7 linked regions of the Oryzias latipes genome follow. The protein of the gene in region 6 interacts with the protein of the main gene of each other region in a pairwise test. Links are inferred from orthologs where the notes say so. Each region holds a gene or a part of one and is shown on either strand. Other genes may lie near its edges. The genes, in order: tbc1d22b, socs7, vars2, trim23, eif3h, sorbs3 and cpne2.

Region 1 (3,500 bases), on a different chromosome or scaffold from region 6:
AAAACAGGAACTTCACCAAAAACATTTGACAAGTATTTTGGTTTATTCAAACTCTCAAACTTCAGGTGAGCAACACATTATGTTCTGATGGAGTCTGTGACTCTGCCCCTCCCACATTGCCATGACAAAAGCAAGACTTGCTGCAAAAGCTGTGGCCCCCTGACCTTCAGGGAGTCCAAGTTTTAGTTTTTTGTGTATTACACCCTTAAAGTTCTGTTTACCCAAACAGTGAAGCAGGTCACACATTTAGCAGAGCTAAAAAAACAACATTTGAACAATTTAAAGCAAAATCAATAAACGTTTGAGTAAATATGGAAGGCCTGTAATACAAACTTTTATTTCTCAGCAAAAAATGGTTCATCATTAGAATGGAACTTCTAAGAAAATGTAGAAAGCCAATTTCCAAAAATGATGATTTCTACTCATCAGAACCAAAACCTTCTAGTTTCTCTAAATTCAACTTTTTTGTGTGTTTTCTGTAAACGCATACAAAACTTAAGTGGTTTTATGAATTTAAATGTGTACATTTAACCCAATTAAAACAGAAACAAGGATAAAAACATCTAATAATAGAGGTCAAACTTCATATATTTCACAAAAAAGACATACAATTCCCAATAATATAATAAAAGAAGAAGCAAACAATTCTCCCTAAAAACTGGGGAGTTATAAATAAACTTTTCCAAAGAGAAGGATTTAAGATTTGTTTAAAAAGCCCTCACTTGAAAAATCAAAGTTTATCAATAAATATGTCTGATTTGAATGTATTGATGAAGACTCAATGACTCGCCAGGTTTCTAAAATTTTGATCTTATTTTTAGAAAACGTCCTAAATTAAACCGAAAGAATTTAACCAGCTGATTGAATTCCCTGAAATGGACCAGCCACCCTGTTCTCCAGGTCTCCCTGGCCTCCTTGCTGATGATGAACTGACTCGGATGTTTCCTCCTTGTGTCTGATCCAAGTTAACCAGGGGTGCAGGGAGAGCTGGAGAACAGGCAGGGAGTTAGAAGACACGAGTTCTAGAGCCTTGCAACTGAAATAAGGAAGCCTTTTGCTTGATATAAAATTTATTACACGAAATCATTACCTTATCAATGCATCTAATGTTCTTATTCGTCAAATAGTGTTGCTGTGTAGAGCTGAGGTTGTTTTTATTTATTTATTTATTTATTTATTATAAAAATGTTCATAACTTCCTGTTGTGCCGATTAATTTGTGTCTGTATTCTTATGACACAGTGAGTGTTTTTAGGCTGAAATTTCTTTTCATAAGCTGTAAATGTGATGATGTTTTTGGTTTTTTTTTCTCAGGTGTTTGAGCGAATTCTCTTCATTTGGGCCATCCGTCATCCAGCCAGCGGCTACGTTCAGGGCATAAATGACCTGGTCACGCCCTTTTTTGTCGTCTTCCTGTCTGAGTTTGTCAGTAAGTTCAGAGTTTGGTATTGAGGCCTAAAGACCCACTCCGATAAAAATTGTGTTTTTAACACGTTCTCAATGGAGGACAAATATTTGAAGAAAATTTAGCTCAAAATTACATTTATGAGTGTTTCTTTATTCAAGTCTTTGTGAATCAGGAGCGGACGAAAAAATGTTGTTATGGGTGACGGGAAAGGGGGGGGCGCCTCAGCCTCACAAATGCAAATTAATAATGAACTATTGTCTGAAAAAAAGTACTTTTTTATGGGCTAAAAACAGCATAATCATAATTAAAAGACCACTGGGAACGCTTTGAAAACAGACCAAAGGATGATCGGAGTGAGACTTTAAATGTTCCTAAAACCAAAACCTGTAAACTTGAGGTGAGTTCTGAGTTTGACTGATATTCCAGAGGAGCACGTGGAGAACTTTGACGTGGCGATGCTCCCTCTGGACACCCAGAGGAACATCGAGGCAGACAGTTTCTGGTGCATGAGCAAGCTGCTGGACGGCATACAGGTGCAGCTCCTCGTTCTCTGTGCAGTTCTCTGAAACGCCACCCTTTTCACTGAAGCAAGTTACTTTTTAGGACAACTACACCTTCGCCCAGCCAGGAATCCAGAATAAGGTCAAAGCTTTGGAGGAGCTGGTCAGCAGAATCGATGGTAGGTGGATGAATCTCCGTCTGACTGCAGGATGCACGCTGCACCCCAAAACAGAAATCGTATGAATGTAAAAACTGCTTTCCCTCCTCAGTGGATATTCACAATCATTTTAAGAAGTATGAGGTGGAGTACCTGCAGTTCGCTTTCCGGTGGATGAACAACCTCCTGATGAGGGAACTGCCACTCCGCTGCACCATCCGTCTATGGGACACCTACCAGGTACAGAGCTCATGAGCACGCAGATCAAGACCTGTTCAGGGTTCGGAGGATTGATTTCTTAGAAAGAATTTGTACTGCAAGAATATTAAAGAGTGAACCTGCACTTAGTTGTTGAAGACGTTTTTAGTTTAAAAAAACTTAGTCCAGATTAAGGTTTTAAAAACTTTTTCTGTCATGGGTCCATCCTTACGACTACGAGTATTAGGGCCACCTTCAAAATAAGAAGATAAATACATTTATGAGAATAAAGTTGTAAAATTATTTTTAAAAAATAATTTGTAATTTTAGGAGAATAAAGTCGTGAAATTACGAGAAAAAAGTCAAATATTTCGAATATCAACTTGTAAAATTATGAAGAAAAAAGTCCTAATTTTAAAAGAATAACTCGTAGAATTATGAGTAAGGGTGAATATTTTACTACAATAAAGTTATAATTTCGTAAGTTTAGAAGTTGAGAATGTACAAGATTAAAGTAAAAGATTTATGAGCCAGAAGGCTGTTTACCTTGAAAAATATAAACAAAAAGAATCAATATATATATTCAGTACATAGAGCGCTTTGTAAGCGGTTAGTTCAGCATTTGTCTTTTTGTGAGTCCACATTGTTTCATTATAAGGACATTGAAAAGACTTTGAGAGAAACTGGAACTCTTTAGAAGAAGATTCTTGACCCACTAGGAATGGATTTTCAGAGGGCGCGCCGTTTATATGGTCAGCAGTGTGGTTGCAGAGGTCCAAATGCATTATGGCACATAGATTCTTATGATGATGCACATATTTTTAACTTTTGATACTTGATCAAAGTTTGCTATGAAAACTTCTGAAATAGTGTTATGTCTATTTTACTGATATAATATTATGTTTTAATCATATCAATGACTTTTATAAGTAACATAATTTGCATATATTTTGGATGCTTCATTGCCATGTTGATTTCTAAAAGTTATTTTTTACAAAATAATTTAAGTAATTTTCGTTGTCATGTGCTTTATTGATACTTCAAGATTCTTAATCCTGTCTGATAAAAGCTAGGAACTGGATAATAATAAATCATGTTATAAAATGGTAACGGTAGAACAGAGGTGGGATTATATAAGTTCGCTTCCTTCCACTCCCTTTCAAGCGATATTTGTTAATATTTCTAATTATCCTTAGTTTGATTAGTTATTTTATGAATGTATAACTGATGGTTGTTT
Region 2 (3,500 bases), on a different chromosome or scaffold from region 6:
TAGTTCAGACTAACTTCCTGTTTTATTTTGAAGGGAAGCCGTGTGTCTGTACTCTTTCCTGTTTGTCAGACCTGGCTTCTGCTTTTGCACATTTCAGCAGTTTCTTATAGTTAGTTACGTCTTTTCGGTAGAGACTGATCTTAGTCTTGATTCTGGCTTTCTGTCAGTGATTATTGCTGCATGAAAATAATGTTCCTGTCAAAGTTAAGATAATATTCTGGATAAAAACACACAACCTATTGAAAAATACAGCATCCGACCACCCATCTATCCCATCATGTGAAAGTCTGATCACCATAGTTGCTATGGTGACCTTTTTATACAGGATTGGTGTTTTCCAAACTGATTTTTAAAAAGACAAAAGGCTTTGGTTTACTCTTTATTTGAGCTTAAGGAGTTATAGAGTTTTTCTCAAACAAAACTAAACAAAAAGTGTTATTTTATAGATTTAAACGATCCTGTTAGACTCTGTGTGAAGTGAAGCGGATCAACCCTAGATCTGTTTAAACAAAAGGCACAACTGGAGCGGATTGCTGACTTTGAGAAGCGACGTTTCTGGATCGCGATGTTCTGCTCTGACCGAACATCTGGATTTCTGGTTTTCACCCACGCCGTGTCCGCTCCTCTTCAATGCAACCAGAGCTTCACTCGCCTCGTTTCCAGGAACTTTGTTCAATTCTTACAGTTTGGTTATTGATCAGCCCCGAGGCGTTTGCTAAAAGCAAAAACATCCCTGACCGACTGCTTAGTCTCCTGACGCGGTTTGTTTTTGAGCTCAGACAGAAAAAAGAATCATCTGAGCTGACTGTCACCAAGAACTGTGATTGGCTGATGCCTTCACAAAATCAAGTCCAAGCAGCTCACAGACAGATCAGAACATTTTTGAATCTAAGTCTTTTTATTATAAAATTATAATCATTAGTAGACGGTCTGTTACGTGAAATCCTCCGACTAAAAACTACAACACATGACGAGCAGCAACTGTTTTACCTTTTCCAGCTCTCTTAGACTGGCAGTGAAGTTGCTGGCTTCAGACCGCCGCAGCGCACAGAGGACGGGAGGCGGAGCCTGTCTGGCGGGAAGTGGAGCGTCAGCAGGCGACGGGTTGGAATGAGGGAGGGCTCGCAGGAAAGCGTCTGATTCAGAGACGTAAAAAAGACACAAGAAAAGAGTTTCTAACCAACAAAAACATCACAATTTTAGAGTTTATCCCCCCCCCCAAAAAAATCCCCTCAACTCTGACACATCAGCCCACATCTTACCATTGAGACTGAGGCTGTGCTGGATGGTGGCGTGGGAGGGAGGAGGGGGAGGCGGGAGAGGCAAGGGGAGGGACTGCAGGGAGGCGCCCATGACGCTCACTAAGAAGGAGCCGGGCTGAGGCCCGGCTATGTCGTCTGTGAGGATGACAGGAGGGACGGAGGAGAGACGGGACAAAAGAAGGAAGGAGTCAGGAGAGGAGGATTTCTGAGCAGCATCAGCGTCAGACAGACAAACCGAACCCAAACCGTCCGGTTACGGGGGATCCAGACACTCACTTTCACCACAATTTGGCCAAATCTCTAATTTTGGGGTTTTGTTTTGTTTGGGTTGGATCTGTGTTTTACAAAATTACAACAAAAAGCTACAAAAATCCATTTTTAGACCGCAGATCACAAATAACAGTGAATACTAAGCCTAAATCATAAAACCTATTTTTTAAATTAACCACAACATGTGTTTGAAACTGTCAAAGTAAAAGTACTGGCATGCAGTCGAGATCCAACGATCCACTTTCCAGCGGCTTCAGAACCATAAAGACATTTATTTAACCTCTGACACACACGAACATGGCAGCTAAGACGGCAGAACAAAACGATGAATTCCTATTGTTGAAATATCAGTAAATATTCATCATGAGGCATCCACATCATGTGTGGGACTCACAGTGAGAAGGCGCCTTTAAAAGGTCAGAAAACAAACAGTTTCAGGAATTTAACATTACATATTCCTCTGCTGCCCTTAACCCAGGGCTCAACCCGTCACACTCTCATACATTTATTCAAACCAATTCTCTAAGAGAAGCTAGATTTTCTCTTTTTCATCTCTCTGTCGTTGAATCCTCCAGGTTTAAATGAAGTTTGGTCTCCACCAATCAGATTACAGCAGATTCCTAAAACGTGTCTGCGTCTGAACGGAGCAGAATGGTGAAGGAAACCGCTTCCTGTCGGGATGTTTGCGCTGGAATGACAAAAACGCGGACATGTACATTCAATCAGGACGGAAAAAAAGTACCCAACAGGCTGAGACTTCGGCGTGGAGGAGGGGGAGGAGTCGGAGGGTGTGGCGTGATCGTCCCTCGCCGAGAAATATCCACGTCCACCAAAGAAACGGTCTCACCTGAAGCCAGAAACAGATTTTTTTTTTGAATTGATGAAAAGCAAAACCACAACGTAAACTGCAGGGGAAAAATGGAAAAAAATCCTATTTTCTATGCAGAGATTTTCTGAAAGTGCACCAAGCAGGATGTTTATGGAGAATTACACCCAGCTAATCAGCACAAATGACTGCAATAAAGAAACACATCCAATCCCAAGTTAATTGAGACGCTGCAGGTTCTCTGTTTACCAAAACGGCGTTCAGCAGTCGGTTTCTGGCATCAGAGGAAGCCAAATCAGACGCTAAGAGCAAAACGCCACTAAAGAGAACCGTCCACCGACTGCAGCCGGTTTGGTTTCAGATCCAACCTGAACCGTTTCATACGTCCATCAAGTTCTTCTGCTGCTTATCTGTCATCTGTGTTTGAAAGACTGTGAAGCCCCACGGAGACGTCTCCAAGCTGAAATCTGCTGCATGAATAAAAAACGCGGCACGGCTTTCCATCTGCCGCCCACCTCTGACTTCTCCACCTCTGCCAGGAAAACAGCTGGGGCTTTTATTTTTCACTTTCAATCTGCTGTCCTGCCTTTGAGTCCAGCTGCCACTTCTCCTAAAGAAGCTCCGCAAAACTGGAAGAAGAAAAAAAAAGCTTCTGGATTTGTTTTTGTGTGGTTTTTTTAGTCAGGATTTAACCACAGCAGGGGGAATAAAATCACAAACTCCTGCAGCAGACAAACAATTATTTACACCTTTTTGAATGTGATCCCACACTGGAATATTATTTTAATGAACGCTAACAGAAAGGGCTTTGAACTTCATCACCAAAAAGTTTGGATCAAAAGCTGCAGACTCTCCGCATGGAGAGGATTTGAAGAAAAGAAACTGTGAGTCCACTCCTGAAGCCTGAGTCACATGCACGCATGCATGAGGGTCGTACGGCCACCTCAAGGTGGAAATGGAACATACCATCGTCACGCGTGTGGTATGACAAAGTGTGCATTGTCAGAAATGAACTCACAAGGGGGAAGCCTGAACCGCGGTTCAGGCTTCCCCCTTGTGAGTTCATTTCTGATAATGCACACTTTGAAGGCCATTAACCCGCCTATACCATGGTCACTTACAAAAGAAATACATTTTCAACC
Region 3 (3,500 bases), on a different chromosome or scaffold from region 6:
TCCGATTGACTTTTAAACTATTTTAATATCATTCCTAGAGATATTAATTATGATTTTGCCGTTTTACAGCAAAATAAAAATAAAACTGTGTTGTTTTCCAGGGCATAGTTTTTGCAGAGCGGCAGAAGTTCATTAGAAATTCACCTCTGAGTTGTGGGCGGGACTGTTAACTCAGAGCAACCCTGTCCCCCTTGCCCTGTCTCTTGGTGAGAGCGTGGAGCAGCAAGCTTGTAACTCACCCAGTGTATGATCTATGTCACAAATAAAATCTTTTTCCAACAATATTTTTTCCATCTGCTCCTGATTCACAAAAATTTGAATAAAGAAATATTTCAAAATGAATTATTTTGCTTATTTGTTTTAAATATCTGTTCCCTATCATCAGAAAAATGCCCAAAAAAACATGTTAAAAAACACAAAGAGCAAGATTTTCATCTAAGTAGATCTTTAAAACAAGATTTCTTAAATCCGTTTTAGTACTACTGTTCGTGTATGATTTCAGTAAGGGTTAATGGCTGACGCAGTGTGTCCGACGCTTCAGCGAAGTGCGTTTAGTAAGGGTTAATGGCCAACGAATTATGGATTATCACTTTTTAACGCACGCTGCGGAAACTTGAACCGTCCGACGCTTCCGCGGCGTGTGTTAAAAAGTGATAATGCATATTTCGAAGGCTATTAACCCGCTTATACCATGGTCACTTACAAAAGAAATAAATAGTAACCAGTTTTTAGTCCTTAATTCTTTTTTTTTTCCAATTTGGATCGCTTTTCTCACAAAAAGCGGACAAGTAGTCTAATAGTCTGCGCCGCGCCGCACCGCACCACCACTGCAGTCAAGACTTGCCGATATAAAGTGATATATATATGCTGATCTTTCCGATTGGTTGAATAAAGCATCAGTTCAGAGAGAAAGTTCACCTCTTACCGCTTGTTTTTGTCCAAATGATGAAGCAAAAGGTTGTTTTAAAGAAGCCGGCACAGTGATACAAAACATTTAAGCTAGGTGACCGGAACTTCTTCTTTCACCGTGCGGTTATCCTGTGGTATATCACTTTTTAACGCACACCCAGCAGCCAATCAGAATTGAGTATTCACCCGGACCATGGTATAAAATGCATTATGGGTCAGAAAAGCTACTTGTGTTAAAGTCACCACCAGACTAGATCGACTGTAAAGCAAGCACTGGCCTGATATCGAGGATCGTCGGGGTGGACCGCTACGGAAACGTCTCCGAGCATCGTCTCAGGACGGGTGGTGGATACCACCACTTCTGCCTCTGAAACCCATGAACCAGGTCAGTTAGAAAGTGGAATCCAGCTGGACCACACAGCTGGTGTCCCTGATCTCACCGAGGCCCTCTACAGGATACGCAAAGGTAAACATGGCACCAAACTCTACCGGCTTTTCATAGCCGGGAACAAACATCAAGGTCTTCCCACACAGATCCTTCCAGTCGACCTGCAGTTAAAAAAATAAAAAAATAAAAAAATCACATTTCCACTTTGTAGTGCTGTGAAAAAGAAAATGGATAAAATCAACAAAGCACCCTCAGCTCACAAACATGATTGAAATGATAATAAATAAATAAAAAACTGAATTCTGAAGGAATTCTCTCCAGATGCTCTGTGAATCTGATGTGGCTCAATGCTCTTTGTTGGTCACATGGTCATGTTTCTAAGGAAGTCTCACCTCAATGTCGGAGATGGCAGATTGAAGAGCGCAGCTCCAGTTCACCAAACCCTCAGAGCGATAAATCAAACCTGAATCGCAGAGCCTGACGAAAGCTTCTGTCACAGTGCTGCAAAAACCCTGCAATCCAAACCAAATCACAACATCTCACTTCATTTGTATGCTCTACTGCTTGTAGCATAAGAGAATTCAGCTGGTGTCAGCTCAGCAGTGGTTGATGATCTTTCAGGCTGTATCTTCACATGCATCTAAACAGAAAATTGGGTTTAACTGGGACTCACTGGATCCATAGTGAATCTGGCTCTGCTCCAGTCCAGAGAGGCTCCAAGCCGTCTCAGCTGCTGGTAGATTTCATCTCCTTTCCTGGAAGCCATTCAGAGGAAACATGACAGGAATAGCATAACAAACAAACTCATCTGAGGTCAACAGGGAAGAGGACTTACTCATTCTTCCACTTCCACACCTCCTGCAGAAACTCATCTCTGGTGAAGTCCTGTCTGCGCTTCCCTTTCGTCCCGACAAGTCTTCTCTCCACCACTGCCTGGATATAAAAACAGGGGAAGAATTTGCACTTCACTCATTAGATGACGTGTGTTCCCCACTAGTATGCTTTAAATAGATTTATTCCGGAAAGCCTGCACAATAAATTGCAAATGTATTGTTATTGCAACAAAAAACTGTGCAATATGGCTTTTTTTTCTTCTTTTTCTCTTTACAGAGAAACTTCCTGATAATCTTGGTCTTCTTCCTGTTGTCAGCTTCAACATCTGATTAAGAAAAGGGTTATGAGATTATCAAATTAACAATAATATCTTTACATGCTAACTGGTTTAATTTATCCAGTATAAAACCAGTTAAATTCAATTCAGTTCTGTTTATTTAAAAAGTACCAATTAACATCTTAGACTGTTGCTTCACAACAGACAAAAAAACTCAAATAATGATAAATTCATTGCAATTGTTATTATCCAATTTATTCCAACAATTCCTAAATATTATACTCTAAATTGGACCTGATCATCTGACATAGCCCAAATTGTTAAAACTGTGACTTAAAATTACAGTAATCCTGTATAAGGGACTAATTGATTACATTAAAGTGACCAATCACCAACTGTGGAGAGGGAAAACTGCTCGTATAAATAGAATAATAATAAAACTTTCACCAGAACCAGACTCGGTCGGCCATGAGCAGCCTGAGTTTGGAAGAACAAGAAAGAAAAAAACACACAAAACCATCTGTTATAAAAGAGATGAGTTAGAAACTGAAGCCACGAAAGAACAGGAAGAAGACAGATGAAAACAAAGTCTTTGGAACATCTGTAACAAAAAGGAAGGGAAACATTAGCAACTACAGAAAAAAATTGAATACAAGGCAGAAAAAGGAAAAAAAAATCGGAACAGCTGTTATCTACGACAGTTTTAGGGCCACCAAAAGAAAAAAAAAAAGTATAATTACGAGATTTTAAGTTGTACATTTAAGAAAAAATTCGTAATTTTCCGAGATTAAAGTGGAAGTGAGCATACAGAGCAGTGCAGTGCAGAGCAGACCGACTAAACTCAATTGAACAGGTCAGCTGAAGGTTTATTGATAACGTTCCAAATGTTTGGAAGTTCATTTGTTTGATTTACGATTTATTAATGTTTTATTTATTGATGGGTGGTTTGCAGGATCCCTGCAGCCGATGAAGCCATCGGTGTCCCTGCAGCTGTCCACTTCCATCCTTTCTTCCTCCACCAAAGACACGATCTCTACGTTTGTGCGATGCTTCCGTCCAATGAGTTATAACTCAGTTATATCGCGATATAAC
Region 4 (4,244 bases), on a different chromosome or scaffold from region 6:
GTTATTGTGTTGTGTTGTGAGTTAATGTGTTGTGTTGTGAGTTAATGTGTTGTGTTGTGAGTTATTGTTTTGTGTTGTGAGTTAATGTGTTGTGAGTTAATGTGTTGTGTTATGAGTTAATGTGTTGTGAGTTATTGTGTTGTGTTGTGAGTTAATGTGTTGTGTTGTGAGTTAATGTGTTGTGTTGTGAGTTATTGTGTTGTGTTGTGAGTTAATGTGTTGTGTTGTGAGTTATTGTGTTGTGTTGTGAGTTAATGTGTTGTGAGTTAATGTGTTGTGTTATGAGTTAATGTGTTGAGTTATTGTGTTGTGTTGTGAGTTAATGTGTTGTGTTGTGAGTTAATGTGTTGTGTTGTGAGTTAATGTGTTGTGAGTTATTGTGTTGTGTTGTGAGTTAATGTGTTGTGTGTAAAGTTAATGTGTTGTGTTGTGACCCTTCTGGGCCACCGAAATGTAAAAATAAATGCAAAAAAAGTTTAATGCTAATTCACCCGAAGCTTGTAAGGCAGTTTAAAAAATAGCAAAACACGAAATGACATGTATTTAAAAAAATAAACATGTATTTATAGATAAAATGTACTTGAGCGTGTGTCAGAATTCCAAATTAAAGTTATCGAAATGATGCAAGAAAGAAACCTAAACCTGCCAGAAGGAAAACAGACTTGTGAGCTGGGATCTGAAGCACAGCTACCTGCTGAAGAGTCTTCTCGCAGTGCAGGCAGGCGGTGGAGACCTGCGACAGCAGGATGGTCATGTCCTCCTGCTGCTGCCTCAGCCAGATGAGCCTCTCCCGAACGTGGGCGTCCACCACACTCAGCGCCATCTCCTCCTGCCGACACAGAGTCTCGTGGAGGTCTGAGAAGTAAGCCCGGACGCAGGAGCGCGCGCTCTCTGCTGTGCCGGGAATCTGACGAGAAGGAAAACAAAAAAACAAAAAGAGGTCACGATAGGGGAAACTCTGGAGTCATGGTTTCACACTGATGGATGCGAGGTTTTCTCACATGCTCGGTGTGCGCCATGCCTACGCCATCCTCCACGATCTGTTCTCCTCCTTCTATCTGCTGCACGATGCCCACCAGCTTCCTGGAGTACTCGGACACTTCGTCTGTGAAGCTGCGGATGCAGTGGGCCATGTCCAGGATAGAAGCTCGGATCTGATTGGCCTCAGACTCAAGGAGAGCGTGCTAAAAGAGAAAAATGATACGCATTAGCATTTCAGATCAAGATCCTGACCCTGAAAGGACGCCTTCGCCTACCTTATGTCCCTGGTGCTTGCCATACTCCTTGCAGACGCAGCACATGAGAGGCCCGGACTGACACGCCTCCTCCAGGCACACAAACTCGATAGCATGGACCTGATGCTGGGGGCAGAGCATCTTCTCGTGAGGCTTATCGGCCAGCGGCACGCGGCGGTGTTTGGCCAGCGTGCGAGTGGAGTGGGTGAGCTGGGAGCACTCGCCACACAGGTGGGTGGCGCACACGGTGCAGTACACGGAGGCTGTGTGGCTCTCGTCTTCGTCACACCGTATTATACACTGGATTAAGGGGGGGAGGAATGAGTGCGAAGAGAAGAAACTACAGAGGCAAAGCACAAGTCCCCACCCACCCACTCACTTCTCCCATGCCCTTCAGGGCGTCCTCAGACATTCCTGACTGGTTGGTGGCTCCATTCTGGAGTCGCTCCAGGAGTTCGAGCAGCGCAAAGTTCTTCTTTAGGCCCCAAACCCCCGAATCTCCTGAGCAGACGTGAAGAAAGAAAACGTCTGTTTTAAGAAGAGGTGCCAACACAAAGCTCAACTGTTGCTCTACTGATGAAGATTGCATTCTCAGCGTCTCATGCACAACTCTGCATATGTTAGCTTTACGTGAGTTGCTAACTTATGGAGGCGGTGAGCCGCAGACACATCTGCACTCTGGATCCATTCTGTGGTTCAATGCTGAGGGTTAAGCAGGGGGTTTTTGAACCAAAGACCTTCCTGTCTCAGGGGCGGACACTCTACCGCTAGTCCACTGAGATGGGTGAGGCGCGGTAGCCATAGCAACCCGGACTCACCCAGCTCCGTGACCTGTCTGTCAAAGGGGCAGCGGACCGCCCTGCCGTGCAGGGGCAGCCGGGTCAGGCAGTCGTGGCACACCGTGTGACCGCAGAGCAGCAGGCGGGGGACCTTGTCGCCTTGGAGGGAGAAGACGTCCTCACAAACTCCGCACTCCAGCACCTGAAAAAGGGACGGACACCGAGTGGAAACATTTTTCCACGCTGCAGGAAACAGCTGCTGCTCGTTTCGCCACCAACGCATTAGACTTTTCAGCAAATAAACAATATAAAATGTAATCTGAAGCATTTTTTCTAAATTTATAGCTACTTTAACTTTAAGCTAGTGGCACCTAGCCTTCGCACCTCAAATGTGTCGCAAACACCAAACCAGCCTTTTAAATGCTCTAGAATTAAGCAGGTCTCATTCATTATAGTTAAAAACAGTGTTATAATGAATAAAGAGATGCACGCTGCACTATTTTACACGTTTAACATCCACAGGCTACGCCAACGCAGCGGCTTCTTCTTCTTCATCCTGCTAGCCTCCCTGCCCTCGACTCTGATGCTGCCCCGCCGCAGGAGTCCGACTCTAATCAGAAAATAAAAGTCACGATCAGAACCTTAACGGTGCTTCCGTTCGCCCCCCTCCCGTGTCGAAAGCAGGGCTCCATCGTCACCACGGTGCCCTGCTTGTTTATTCCCGCAGCCGCCATTCTTAGACGACAGTGCAGAGGACCGGGCCAGACCGAGACTACATTTCCCAGCTACTTCCGGTTTCGTCTACTGAGTTTTGTTGTGAACAGGCAGGTGTGAAATCAACTTCCGGTTCCAATTAACACTAATGCGTCCGTTGTTTTCCTTTTCTTAAATTGTAAAAATATTGGATAAAAATAGAAACAAAAAAATGAAATATTTAATAATAACCAATTAAACATAATTAATACATTAACATATTGTAGCGACCTGGGGGTTAGCCCCGCCTTCAGCCCCTAAGGCTCATGGGAAGTGGGGAGCTTAGGTGAAACCTTGAGTCAGAGGGCTGGAAGCTGAAGTTAGGCTCCGTGCTGTTTGGGCTGTATGGTGTGCTAGAATAAACAGGCTTGTTGCATAAAAACTAATATTGCCTCTCTCTACGTTTCTTCCAACTTGAGACTGTAATGTGTCGTACGGTGTATGGGGCACGGACAGCTATCCATTAGAACCTCTTCATGAGCAGTAGGCTTTCGCTACCCCACTAAAGTGACGGTCCGGCCGGATCGTTACAATATAATACATGACTTGTATGTTAATTACCATAAATTATACATGATTAATAATGAACGTTTTCGTTCTTCTAACATCGGATCAATTTCACCTGTATAATACAGCATGTAAAATGTGTATTAAGGATTTATTTATTTTATTAGTTTATTTGACAAGATAACCTTTTGCACATGAAAATGCATCTTTGCAAATTCACCAAAGTTAGCCAAAAGGTTATTTATCATCTGTCGTACCTGGACAGGTAAAACAGTTGTCTCCTAAAAAACAATTTTACCTCAACAACAAAAATACAAAATAAACATAAATGAGAATAAGAACTTTATAACATCCGTAAAAAGGATAAAAATTCAATTTAAAAATAAAAGTGTAATAGAAGGAATTTATAAGCACAAAAGAGATTAAGCTGATATAAGGAGGAGATATAAGGTGTACAAAAACAAATTAACAATGATTATGAGGATGTGTAAAATGGAATACTACTATTACTAGAGACTACATTACCCATCATTCTTCAAGACTAGCTTCTTATCATAACAATGTTTTTGGTGGTTTTTCTCTTCAAACTGAGAAAAGAACAAAATATGACAACAGGCTCCTTTTCAATAAGATTATTAACATTTGTGAATCTTAAAAACTATTTACATAAAGCATACTTAGCCTATTTTACACCTAAGTATTTATGTTACTTGTTTTTCTTTGCCACCGTTTTTGCTATAAGTCTGTATTATGTTATGTTTTTTATATAATTTAATTTTCACTAGTTTTTTTGTATTCTGCTAAAAAAAATTACAATAAAGTTGTTGAAAAAACAGTTCCACAGACTACTGTCTCTTGATGATGACGTGTTTTCGGCGCGACCTACTTCAACACAAAGCAGCTTCGTGTTTTCGTCTCCAAACCCCCGCATTTGTTTTTATACTAAAACGTCATGCTTCATGCAAACATT
Region 5 (3,500 bases), on a different chromosome or scaffold from region 6:
GCAGTTTTAATTTTCTTTATAGATGTCCTCCATCATGACAAAAATACCACAAGAACACCAAAAACACAGTTGTCATCAGTTGGTCTTTCTAAAAAAACAGACATCACTTTTCATAACAGAGTATACTTAAGAATGGGGGGTTGCATACGTTTTCAAGGACATTTAGCAGGAAAGGATCCTTAGTTAAGGTTTTATCTTATATCTAACCCTCTATAAACTGATTTTATTTTTCACTGTAGAGTGAATTTTACTAACAATGATGAGGACCTACAATACACATGGATTGTTTTTGTTGAGTTTGCAATTTGTTGATTTTTTTGCAGCATGTTCTACAAAATAGAGGTAAAGTATTAAAATCTCATCCCCAGGATCAATATTCAGTGAGTTACTCTAATATGTGCATTGTTCCAGCAACAAAGATGTTTACATAATGCGTGTTTGTTTGATATATGGACAGGAAGTGTATCATTTGATCATGTTAAGGATTCTGAGTGCAAGATTCCCTCAGGCAAACTTTAAGATAAGATTGAGGCACAAAGGCTGGCAAAGCTGCCTCGGGCGTTGAGTAGAGAAGACAAGTGAGCATGAATTATAGCAGAACATCGGGAGAAATCAATAAAATGAGTAGTGTTTGTCAGAATTTGGGGAAAAATATCTATTTAATGAACTATAAAATGCATTACCAAAATAATAACCCCTTGAAGTTATTGAACGGCAATCATGGAGTTGGAGGAAAGTTCAAAAGGGGCTGCTTCCAATCAGCGCACTTTTATCTACATTTCTCACTCAATGTGGACCACAGTATGTTCAACCTTTCAACATCAAATGCTTGAAGCTGAAGAAGAACTGTTCCTTTTTTTCTTTTGGGGATAAAAAGAAAAGAAAAAAGGGTATGAATTTTTGGTAAATAGAAAAAAATAAAAATGAATAAAGCTGAATTTGTAATAATAGAACTAATATTACCCGTTCTGGCCCTGGGCTGTCCCATTTCAGTTGAGGCTTGTTGGGAACAATGAAAGTGGCAGATTGGAGCTATAATAAATCATAGGAACTAATGAAAAGCTGCAGAAACTAAAGTAATCCTGAGTCCAGGCCCAACACTAAGGGTCAATAACAGACTGGCTGGAAAGGGACTCACACGGGTGAAAAAATACAGAGGGGTGGAAATTAAATAGTACCAAATACACTTCCAATAGTAGGCTGCTTGGAATTGACTGCAACTCAAAGCTTCTGGGACTTCCATGTTCCACTGACATGCTTGTATTAGCCCGAGCATTTGTGGCATCCTTATACATATGCTTTTTGCATGAGTGAGTTAGTGCTCTAGTGGCGCAATGAACTGCATGGGAAATAGTTCCCTCATTACATTTGTTTTTAGCTGCAATTTAAAAGCAATTACGATAAGCCTTAGGGGTCACAAAAAGCGTAAACATGGAACATTTATTTGACGGGCAAGGAGGAGTGAGCTGATAAATCATGATGATGATCATCATCATCAGCGTCCATCTCCAACTGCCACTAAATGCCTCCCCTGGGGATGCACCAGGCTGTGTTTGCATTCCCCAAATAAACAGAATTAAACCAGGGAAAAGGGGAAAATTTAACTGCAAGTATGGGCAATGAGGGGCCGATGGTTTTAAACAAATAGATGAAAGGAATATTTGATGGTTGCTACACTTAATCCAAAGAGCAGCAGCAGGAGTGTTTTTGTGTACTCTTGTAAAAAACCACTCACCCCTCTGGTGTAAAATCTTTCTCTTTGCAGATCTCCATGAGTTTGGGGGTAAGCCTGTAGGCTTTGAGAGACAGGGAGCCTTGGGCTGTCTTGATGGGATCTGAAATCAAGAAAAAAAGTGAATTGTTTACTTTTATGCAGCTAACAAATCTTGTTTCCTTGTTTTTTTTTCCTTCACATAATAATGCCTGCATGCTCTAACAGCACTCATGGGAGGTAAAGAGAAATGGGCTGAGAGTTCTAAAGATGCTAATGATTAAACAAACAGAAAATATCAGACACGATTTTCCTGTTTAAAAAAAATGTTTTTTTTTTATTTTTTATTTAATGGTGGAGCCTTAAGAGCAACTGTTTGCCATCCTCTGCTATGAATCTTAAATTTATTCCTAAACAAAAAAAATGACTAAGAAATTTTGGGGGCTAACAGTTAAGCTATAAGAACCCATGGCGACATCAGTGATAGAAAAACATAAGATAAGATGTTTTGTGGTCCAACTTGTATTGTGGCACATTCCACTTGTTCTGATTTATTGTATTTATTTAAAAAGATTTCACCAAAGCTTTCAACGTTTTCCGTTGCCTTCCGAATAAATCTTTTGAATCCAAAGGACTGACAGCCCAGATGAAGTTTTGGTGCCAACAATTCCCTTTCCGATTGCCTGGTCATTTACTTACAGATTAGCTGGCCCCAAACAAAACTGACAGTTAGCCGAGAGTCACGGCTCATCGCCGCCAAGAGGGAAGAAAGTCCTGATCAGGACAGCTCTCCTAAGCCCACAGAAACCATGCTCTGCATAGAAATGCAGAATATACTAGACTGGGATTTTTATGCAATTTCTTCTTTTTTAGTGGTACTAAGGAAGCAATTAGTATATATTTTGTTTCCTCCAACAAGTATTTATTTTATTCAACACGCAAAATACCAAGAAAGCCCAAAAAATGAATGCAAAAAAGTAAATGCGTATTTTGCTGGAGCAGCACACAGAGGTATCAGAAAGTTCAAATGGTCAACACCCATGCAATATTCACTTCTACTTAATATTTCCAAACAGGGGTAAACTGTTATTATAAAGCTTCTTACTAATGAGGCACAAAGCCCCATCAGATGCACTCAATGTTCCTGACTTAGCAGCTCTAGTAAGATGTGTGTCTATTCTAACCTATAACCTTCAACTGTTTGCCTCCCCTGTAGAAACAATTGCTACGGGGAACGCAATTAACCAGTTAGCTTAACTACCCACTTTGCTTCCAAGCTCACTGCACAGGAGCCATTTACCCACCAGTCGTCCGAATGATTGATCCTTTCATCGGCATGAAATGACCGGTGAGCCGATGACAAAGAAAACAAAGAAGAAATCAATGTATTTCTTCCCCTTTGACTTTAAACAGATAATGTAAATTCCTTTGGGGTGCTTTGATCCTTTAAGTGCTGAATTATTGATTGACATTAACAGGAGGCCTGGTTTAGAATGAGAAAACCACCCGACTACAAGGTTTTTAGAGGAGCTGGCAGGAGAAGATCAAAGTTATGTTCCTGAAAATGATCCATCATCAGTTTGTACAATCTGGAGAAAGAAAAGTTTCAGAAAAGACAAGAGATGCAGTTTCTTCATACTAACAGTTATGGAAATGCTGCAATGTTTGAAGCCTTTTCTTACTTTTAAATAAAATATTTATTTTTCCCGTTATGGATAAGTACCTTTTAAAGTAATCTGGTTCAATCCTTGGGTAAGTCTTCCTTTTTGCTTTTAAACTGTAGACAATT
Region 6 (4,136 bases):
AGAGTTCAGTACGTTCCAGCAGAAGCTTCAGGCCAGTAAATCCCAGCCTTTTTTCCCCTCAAGAGGACCCAAGCTCAGAGTCGAAGTTGATTATTCTCATCAACAACATAAAAGAAATTCAATTATTTTCTTCAATGTGTTCAATATACCGTCAAAGCATAAGAAAGTAGGTGCGGGTAAGAGAAAAAAAATTTCCCAAATCTTCCTGCCTGTCATCTTGCATTTTTAAAGCTGACTGTAGGCAGTTGGACCCACAGAAACGTGACAAAGGGAGTCTGAGCCAGCTGTGGAAATCTCCCTGACAGTCAGGGGGGTCTGGACAGTCCAGTCATTGAGCTCCTTTTCAGAATGAGGGAAGCAACACGGCTGAGTGACATGTTGATCTCACCTGGTGTACACATAGCCCCTGAACAGATATTTAGAAACATTGCCCTCAGTGTACTCTGTGTGTTCATGCTTGGATGCATGCATTATTCCACTTGCTTAGTCAGTAAACAGTGGTGTTGCAACACTGAACTTCCATAGATTAAAGGCTTCATTTTGCTGTTAGATTCTTTGTAAAGATACATACTTTCTGCAGCATTTAAAACAAGGTAAACACTGTGTACACCTGAGCAGTCAGACTGGTTACTCAACACACTTGCTAAACAGCCATACCTGAGTTTCTCTGCTCTCGATTGTGCTCCCTTTCTTTACGAGTCCCCTCACCTTCCCGCTGGGGCTGATAAAAACCTTCCCCCTGACTGAGTGGGGCATGGAATCACCTCTGTCGGCCCTGAAGTTTCCCTTTTCTGACTGCTGAAACTGGCCAGGTCGCCTCTCAGACACCCAACCCTCACACCGCCTGCCTCCGAGAAAGACTTCCCGGTTGACAAGTATTACCATGACAACCCCTTTCAACCTGCGTTTAAAAGGCACCCTGCACTTGGCTTGTCAGTTCAGGGGCACCTCCTTCAGTGAAACAGCCCCATTGTTGTGATAAGGAGATAATTCACAGCACAGGGTTAACCAAAGGGGAACACAAACAGTTCATCACCTCTGCTGCCCGAACACAGCCAGGCGACTCCATGATGTCTCCTCCTAATTATCTTTTCTGTGATTATTTTACATAAAGAATGTGTTTGCATATTGTGGACTGAGCCTTTTAACTACTGTTTTTCTTTCCTTCATACATACAAACATGTGGAGAAAATAATTTGACACGTGATAGATATCTTAGCAGTGCAAAGGACAATTATTCAAATTCAGATGAATACTTCAGTCAAATTCGTGTGTCGTTCTTGATCAAATCACAATGCAGGTAAACCCCCAAAAGGACAAAATGCATACATGCATTCTGCTTCCATGCAATTCCTGCCTAACAGCCTGCCACAGGTAGACTGAGCTACAAATTCCACAAATAGTGACGGCTCCAATTCTCTGCCGGCCTGAATGGTCTCACTCAAACTTTCAGTCAATCTGCATATTTGTTTTAACATCTTCATGCAAGCCACTTTCCTCCTGAAACTTAAGGCCTCTGCTCTGTTTAATAATTCAGCGGTCTGGCTATAAAACCTGGGGGCAGCAGCTCATTCACTGAGCCTGTACTGCTCTCTGGGTTGTTTTTGGCCAAACGGTGGAGCTCCCAAACTTAAAGCATTACCCAGGCTCCTTTCAGGAGCCTTAGTTCTTAATTAGTGCCATGCAGGAACAGACTTTTTCCTTCCTGGTTGCACTTCTGTCATTATATTATTCTGTTGTTAAATGAGGTAATCGTACAAACAACTGGGTAAAGCCACAACCAAACATCTTTCCTTCACCCAATCCAGACAAAAAACACCTATTTCTTGTAGAAAAATAAGCCAGAAAAGGAGGCAAGGTATGCTCTTTTCCTACGTGATTCCCCACTGTTGTGGAAAGTTTCCAGCAGATCTTTATTGCGCTGTAAAGACCAACCACTGCCCTTTCACATAATGCCAGTACACTGCAGAGCCTCATTAAAAGGATAACAGCCAAAGATTCCAGGGAGAGAATTTACCATGACATAAGTGGATTATGCAATGAAAAACTACATCATCTTGAAACCAAAGTTACAGGTTTTTCTGGGTTTTTATTAGCGTGATTTTTATATTTGACTTTTTCTGAAAGAAGAAAGACAACCGCACTAAAAAAGTCTAAAAATCCAGTTATCATCAGTTAACATGAGAGAGACAGTACAACTCTACAGGTTAAAGGTATCATCAGAAACATGGAGGCTTGAGATAAGAACTACTTGTCGTGAAGTGTCACATGTGGGAATGTCTCCTGAGAACAAACACAAAGTAATCTGGGTTATCCTGGCACTAAAACAGCTTATTTCGGTTCGGGACTTTAAATTTAACTATCGTATCTAGAAAAAAGACTTAAGTTTTCCAGAAAGTTAATCAGAATAAAATCTGACAGCTCAAAGTTTGGGGAGAACCATCACTGTTATCAGCTGTAAAAAAAAAAAAAGTACAATAATTTTGAAGTGATGAAAAAACCCCTGTAAATATCAAGTGTCTTCATTCATAAATGTTCCTCCGGCAAACTGAAACTCCTGTTTAAACAATCCCAAAGTTCTGAAAAATCTTTCTGCACTGTCAACTTTTACTTCCTCGTCACCCACGCTGCTCTCATCTCACAGTCAGAACAGGAGGCACAAGTAGTACAGTACTTACAGGCTGCGCAGTCAGATCTTCTCGGCACAAAAGAAGAGAGGAACTGAATCCAGAAGGAGGAGGGAACCACCACTTCTCCCCACTCGCTCCGTTCCCTCCCTTTTCAGTCTGAGGACAACAGGGTGGCTTTTATCTATAGTGAATGATTCAGCGTGGGCCTGAATCTTTCCCTGCCTGTCTGTAGGCGTGCTGGCATGTGTTTGTTTTGCGACCATTCACTTTAACGCTCATCAGGGAGACAGGGCTCCGTAATAGTTTCCATCCACAGCTGGAAATAATAGATTCCCATCCAGTCATGAGCTAAGCAGAACAGCTTGTCAGTGTTCTAGGTGCAAAAGTCGATTTTTCTTTTCAGAGAAGAAGCATGGGTAACTCATGTTGTGCAGCAGTTCAGTCTGTTTACTGTCTGCTGTTATCATCAGATGGGTCTGATACATTTGTTCCTCACACAAAAGGCAGTCTGGGCAGCTTTTTATGTGAACCAAGGGGTTAAGTCAACGCGCTTCACCTGTTTCTCACAGACATAAATGCAGACGCATACAGGCTGACTACCTCACACACATGCAAGAGAACATAAGGCTTCCAGAACTAAATCTACTTACCTTCCTAAAATCTGAAAAATACGACAGTTCAACCATAAGAAGTAGTGCCATGGATCTGATTCTAGAGCAGTGAAGCTGCAAGATTCTGACTGGATTTACATGTTTATTCCCACGGTTTCTTATCCCCAGAAACATATGTTTGGTAGATTCCTTCACTTTGTGATCAAAAGCAGTGCAGTTCTGCCATCCAAGATAAATATTTAACAGGTAGGCTGTGAGATCACAAACCAAAGGTCACACCTTCAGTCTTTTGTCTAGAGTCCATCCACATGTCAAGACAACAATCCAGAACTTCACCGTAGTGAGTCGGAAATGTTACATGCGTATATATAATATATACTATATATATATTAATATATAATATAATAATATAATTACAATATATATATAATATTAATGCATACTTGGAGTCAAAGATCACACAAGTGTAATTACAAATAAACAGTTGTATTTTTTTTCCCTTCAAATATAATTTTTTTAAATGGATGTCAAGGTATCTAAAGATTTATTTCTAAACTATCTAAAAAATAATATTGATACCTGCAACAAGCCTCGGTTTCACTGTCTTGAACTCAAAGAGTTTTAAGAAGTAAATCTCTATTTAGGGAGTTATTGGTTTTTCTCATAATAAATGGAAATATGCTGCCCCTCAGTGGTTATAAAGGGCACTGCTGGGTTTGTGCTTTTACATGTGAGCAGAACTGACAGATGTTCCCAGAGTTGAAGACTCATCTAAACCAAAACAAAACAAAAAGTTTAAAAAAAGAAGCATGAATCCAAATTCAAGTCAAATTAGTCCATTGTTTTCTAAAAAAAAACAAAAAATAATGTTGGACAATGTTTAACGAAAATAGAA
Region 7 (3,500 bases), on a different chromosome or scaffold from region 6:
CATCTTTGGATATGTACAGCATAGAAGGATACACCAGACCAATCCTTGAACATGGGGAAAAAGAAGGCTATATTCGTTGGCCACATTTGAAGAAGTCATTGAATTTGGGCAGCACTTGTCGCGGCGCTGTGATGTAAGCAGCCTATGAATACAGGCCAGGAAGAACGCAGCCCCTGAATTTGGACACAGCCATAAAGTGTTGCTTACAACTGAAGACCAGAAATAATAACGTCGTGCATTCACCCACAATCTAATAATTGGATAGCCACCAACTCATGATTTCAGTATTTATATCAGCATTTTTATTCAACAGTGTTTAATGGTGTATTTTGTGCCAGGAAATTCTTAACATATTCCCACCTTCATTTGGCTGAGTTTGCTTACACACCTGACAATCAAACTACCTAGAAAAAGCCAAGCGATTCTCACTGATGCTTGTTTGTGGTATTTCCTAAAACAAAGTCTGACTAAGAATAAAAAAAGCATGATGAGGGAAACTGAAACATCATTTCATTTCTACACCATAGTGACAAGACTTTTCCAACCATTTTTGCGGGTGTTTCTCTTAGATTTGTGCTGCAGGTTGGTTTGATTTTTCTTAAAATGACACAGTACTGTACTTTCACCAGTTTTATTGTTTTGCCTCCCACCTTTGATCTGGTAAACAACTCGCCTGCATTCATTCTATAGTTAACTGCATTTAATTTGCAGGAACACCAGAGTTCACCTGTTCACAGCAGACTCCAGGTTTAAGGGTGAAAGTGCTCCTGTGAAAAACCAAACACTTCTCCAAATGCTGCAGCAAAATCCCCAACAATGGCAGCTGCTTCTCAATAACCTTCTCACCTGAGCAGAAGGGGTTAGTGGGGTTAAAGTTGATGGCAAATTCATGTGAAACCTGCAGAAAGAAGAAACCTGAATCATAAAGAGGATTTTTCACCAAATTGTGAAATATTAACAGGAAAAACACGATTAAATCCTTTCCACACGTTCTCCCTCCCACCCCGAGTGTACTGTGTTTTTGTCCTTTGCATAGGCTCAGTGCCATGGCAACGCAGATGGGCTGGTAGTCACAAAATCATGTGAATATGCATGTGAATTCCTACAGTTTGTGCGTGCAGAATAAATATAACAGTTTACAAATGATTCATCATTGTGATCTGCCTTTGTGTTTGCCTCATGCACAAACATGGCTACACACATACCTTCCAGTCTGGAGGGAGCTGGGCACCAAATCCCAGAGCAGGAAACATTTTGTCACTGAGGATGAAACCATGACAACAGATTGAGAGCATTACTTTAATTTTTCTTGCCATGTGAAAGCAACCCGGTTACCTAGATTTCACAGAAACATTGCCAGTTTGAAGGGAAACAAGCAGAGGGCAGGTAAAAAAGTGATGCAGCAGGGAGAAACGGTCATCGAGTTTTTTTTAAGTCAGACATTCACCATTTGTCAGTGTTTTCAAGAAATACCCTTTTCATTTTGAAGACTGCTTCAAAGATGCTCTAGTATATATATATTTAAAAAGAACAAGACAGTAGCAAATAAAACATGCAGTGTGTGACAAATAAAAAAATACTTTGTTAGACGTCAAAGGAAACCTACATGCAAATAAATATTCATGATAAGACTGGAGATGGATTCACAAAAGCCTAACTAAGTCAGAAGATCATGAGCGGAGAATAATAGGAAGTACCACTTGATAAAAACTGTGTAAAATTCATTCCTCAATACTTAATTCTTTGAGGAAGGTGTCTCACTTGGGAAAAAATTAAAGATCAGTCAAACTGAACTGAATACCAACTCCAATCATCTTTTGATGTACTTTAATAGCATTCCCAGTGGTCTTTGAATTATGTTTAGATGTTTTTAGCCAAAATCAAAAAACCTGTGTTCTTTTCTAGGACATAATCTCTGCAGAGCGGCAGGAGTTCAGTAAACATTCATCTCTGAGTTGTGGGCGGGAGCATTGGCAACTCTTTCCCGTCACCCATTAAAGGGAGCTCTCTGTTTACACTTCCTCCCACTAGCTTACAGCCCCTCACAACCCTACACGTACGTTACTGGTGCAATATGGCGAGCAATGTCGGCGCTATCCAGCCGTACAGTTTTTAAACAAGATACGTGCTCAGACCAAAGATGTACATAGATCTAGTCGACTACAAGAGGATGCTTTGGAATGGAGTGGGGCAGGGAGCTTGTGGCCCACCCAGTCTATTTTTTACGTAACAAATACGATCTTTTTCAAACTGTATCTTTTTTTCTGCTCCTGATTCACAGCACTTTGAATAAAGGAATGCTCAGAAAGGCAATTTTGATTTTGATTTTTTTTTATATGTCCTCTATCATCAGAAAAAGGCCACAAGAACACGTTAAAACACCCAAAATGCAATTTTCACTGTAGTAGGTCTTTAAAAAAGCTTAAGCTGCTGATCTGTATTTGTTGCTTTTGTGTTTTATTTTAGCTTTTAACCCTTATGAAAGTCTACTCAAGAATTTTTTTTTTTAAATGGTCCAAAAAAAGAAAAATGTAAATTTGGAAACCAAAACATAGATTTTGTTAATTTCCTGCTGCATAAAAAAGGCTAATTGTCTATTTTCAAGTTTTGCACCAGCATGGTTGACAAAAACAGTAAAGTTTACTTTTTGAATTTACTTCCATGATAATAAAGTGGTTGTTTACTTACGTGTCATAGTCCTGAATGATCTGCCCAACAGCTAAAATAGCTGAGAGGTACTCATTGCTGCCTAGTGGGTTAATGTAGTGCAGAGAGGATGGCTCTCTGGGATTTCCATTTGAAGCAGTGAAGTCTATACCGACCTGCAGAAATCAGAAAGAAGTGGAATTATTTGTACAGTAACGTAGAAGAGATAAATAAACACTAAAATGACCACAAATGTTAGAGTTGAACGATTTACAGCAGGGATGACAATTGTTTTCACACAAGAGGGTGTGAGTTTTTCAATGGGTGAGACACTATATATCAAAACACTGTTGTCACTTACTGTTCTCGTTGGTTTCATAGTTATCGTACTTGACACCCTTTCTCCGCCTTCATCTAACCCTTTCCTCAGCATCCAACTCATTCCCATTATCCAGCCTCATGTCTCTACATCCATGAAACTTCTTTACACACAGAACCTCTATCTTGCTGCTCCTAACCTTCAATTCTTTTCTTTTTCAGAATAAACTCCCACCTCTAAATGTGCCTCAACATGCTCCCATACAGATCACAATGTCATCTGTAAACAACACGGTCAACTGAGATTCCTGTCTAATCTCATCCGTCAGCCTACCCGTCACCACAGAACTAGCATTCAATAGTTCCTGAAAGTTTCAAAGGATTTTTTTTTTTTACAATTTTTAAACTTTTAGTAATCCCTTTTCAAAAATATATTACAAACACATCATTGTCAATTTTGCACAAAAGTTGTAGTGACTGGTAAGTGATTGGCAATTTCCTTCCATCTTAAATCTCCTTTGATTTCTCCTATGTAT

The links.
Region 1: the proteins of sorbs3 (region 6) and tbc1d22b interact in binary tests that used the Homo sapiens proteins (3 or more experiments, as listed by UniProt). The link is inferred for Oryzias latipes from reciprocal best matches to the Homo sapiens genes SORBS3 and TBC1D22B.
Region 2: the proteins of sorbs3 (region 6) and socs7 interact in binary tests that used the Homo sapiens proteins (3 or more experiments, as listed by UniProt). The link is inferred for Oryzias latipes from reciprocal best matches to the Homo sapiens genes SORBS3 and SOCS7.
Region 3: the proteins of sorbs3 (region 6) and vars2 interact in binary tests that used the Homo sapiens proteins (3 or more experiments, as listed by UniProt). The two-hybrid records come from large-scale screens. The link is inferred for Oryzias latipes from reciprocal best matches to the Homo sapiens genes SORBS3 and VARS2.
Region 4: the proteins of sorbs3 (region 6) and trim23 interact in binary tests that used the Homo sapiens proteins (3 or more experiments, as listed by UniProt). The two-hybrid records come from large-scale screens. The link is inferred for Oryzias latipes from reciprocal best matches to the Homo sapiens genes SORBS3 and TRIM23.
Region 5: the proteins of sorbs3 (region 6) and eif3h interact in binary tests that used the Homo sapiens proteins (3 or more experiments, as listed by UniProt). The two-hybrid records come from large-scale screens. The link is inferred for Oryzias latipes from reciprocal best matches to the Homo sapiens genes SORBS3 and EIF3H.
Region 7: the proteins of sorbs3 (region 6) and cpne2 interact in binary tests that used the Homo sapiens proteins (3 or more experiments, as listed by UniProt). The two-hybrid records come from large-scale screens. The link is inferred for Oryzias latipes from reciprocal best matches to the Homo sapiens genes SORBS3 and CPNE2.

Annotation. Positions count from the first base shown.
Region 1 is NC_019865.2:4,879,952-4,883,451, reverse strand, and holds part of tbc1d22b (TBC1 domain family member 22B), read left to right. Parts: intron 1-1,313; coding exon 1,314-1,428; intron 1,429-1,833; coding exon 1,834-1,940; intron 1,941-2,010; coding exon 2,011-2,086; intron 2,087-2,177; coding exon 2,178-2,305; intron 2,306-3,500. UniProt on the Homo sapiens protein: May act as a GTPase-activating protein for Rab family protein(s).
Region 2 is NC_019859.2:1,854,352-1,857,851, forward strand, and holds part of socs7 (suppressor of cytokine signaling 7), read right to left. Parts: intron 2,380-3,500; coding exon 2,275-2,379; intron 1,398-2,274; coding exon 1,263-1,397; intron 1,137-1,262; coding exon 991-1,136; intron 1-990. UniProt on the Homo sapiens protein: Substrate-recognition component of a cullin-5-RING E3 ubiquitin-protein ligase complex (ECS complex, also named CRL5 complex), which mediates the ubiquitination and subsequent proteasomal degradation of target proteins, such as DAB1 and IRS1.
Region 3 is NC_019869.2:21,527,952-21,531,451, reverse strand, and holds part of vars2 (valine--tRNA ligase, mitochondrial), read right to left. Parts: intron 2,231-3,500; coding exon 2,133-2,230; intron 2,053-2,132; coding exon 1,971-2,052; intron 1,810-1,970; coding exon 1,690-1,809; intron 1,459-1,689; coding exon 1,350-1,458; intron 1,277-1,349; coding exon 1,188-1,276; intron 1-1,187. UniProt on the Homo sapiens protein: Catalyzes the attachment of valine to tRNA(Val) in a two-step reaction: valine is first activated by ATP to form Val-AMP and then transferred to the acceptor end of tRNA(Val).
Region 4 is NC_019870.2:3,058,623-3,062,866, forward strand, and holds the start of trim23 (E3 ubiquitin-protein ligase TRIM23), read right to left. Parts: upstream 2,801-4,244; 5' UTR 2,749-2,800; coding exon 2,656-2,748; intron 2,545-2,655; exon of another isoform or gene 2,520-2,544; intron 2,217-2,519; coding exon 2,054-2,216; intron 1,737-2,053; coding exon 1,615-1,736; intron 1,536-1,614; coding exon 1,257-1,535; intron 1,185-1,256; coding exon 1,002-1,184; intron 908-1,001; coding exon 692-907; intron 1-691.
Region 5 is NC_019874.2:13,857,147-13,860,646, forward strand, and holds part of eif3h (eukaryotic translation initiation factor 3 subunit H), read right to left. Parts: intron 1,836-3,500; coding exon 1,736-1,835; intron 1-1,735.
Region 6 is NC_019867.2:17,343,990-17,348,125, forward strand, and holds the start of sorbs3 (vinexin), read right to left. Parts: upstream 2,801-4,136; 5' UTR 2,679-2,800; intron 1-2,678. UniProt on the Homo sapiens protein: Vinexin alpha isoform promotes up-regulation of actin stress fiber formation. Vinexin beta isoform plays a role in cell spreading and enhances the activation of JNK/SAPK in response to EGF stimulation by using its third SH3 domain.
Region 7 is NC_019864.2:24,986,726-24,990,225, reverse strand, and holds part of cpne2 (copine-2), read right to left. Parts: intron 2,823-3,500; coding exon 2,689-2,822; intron 1,261-2,688; coding exon 1,206-1,260; intron 899-1,205; coding exon 847-898; intron 1-846.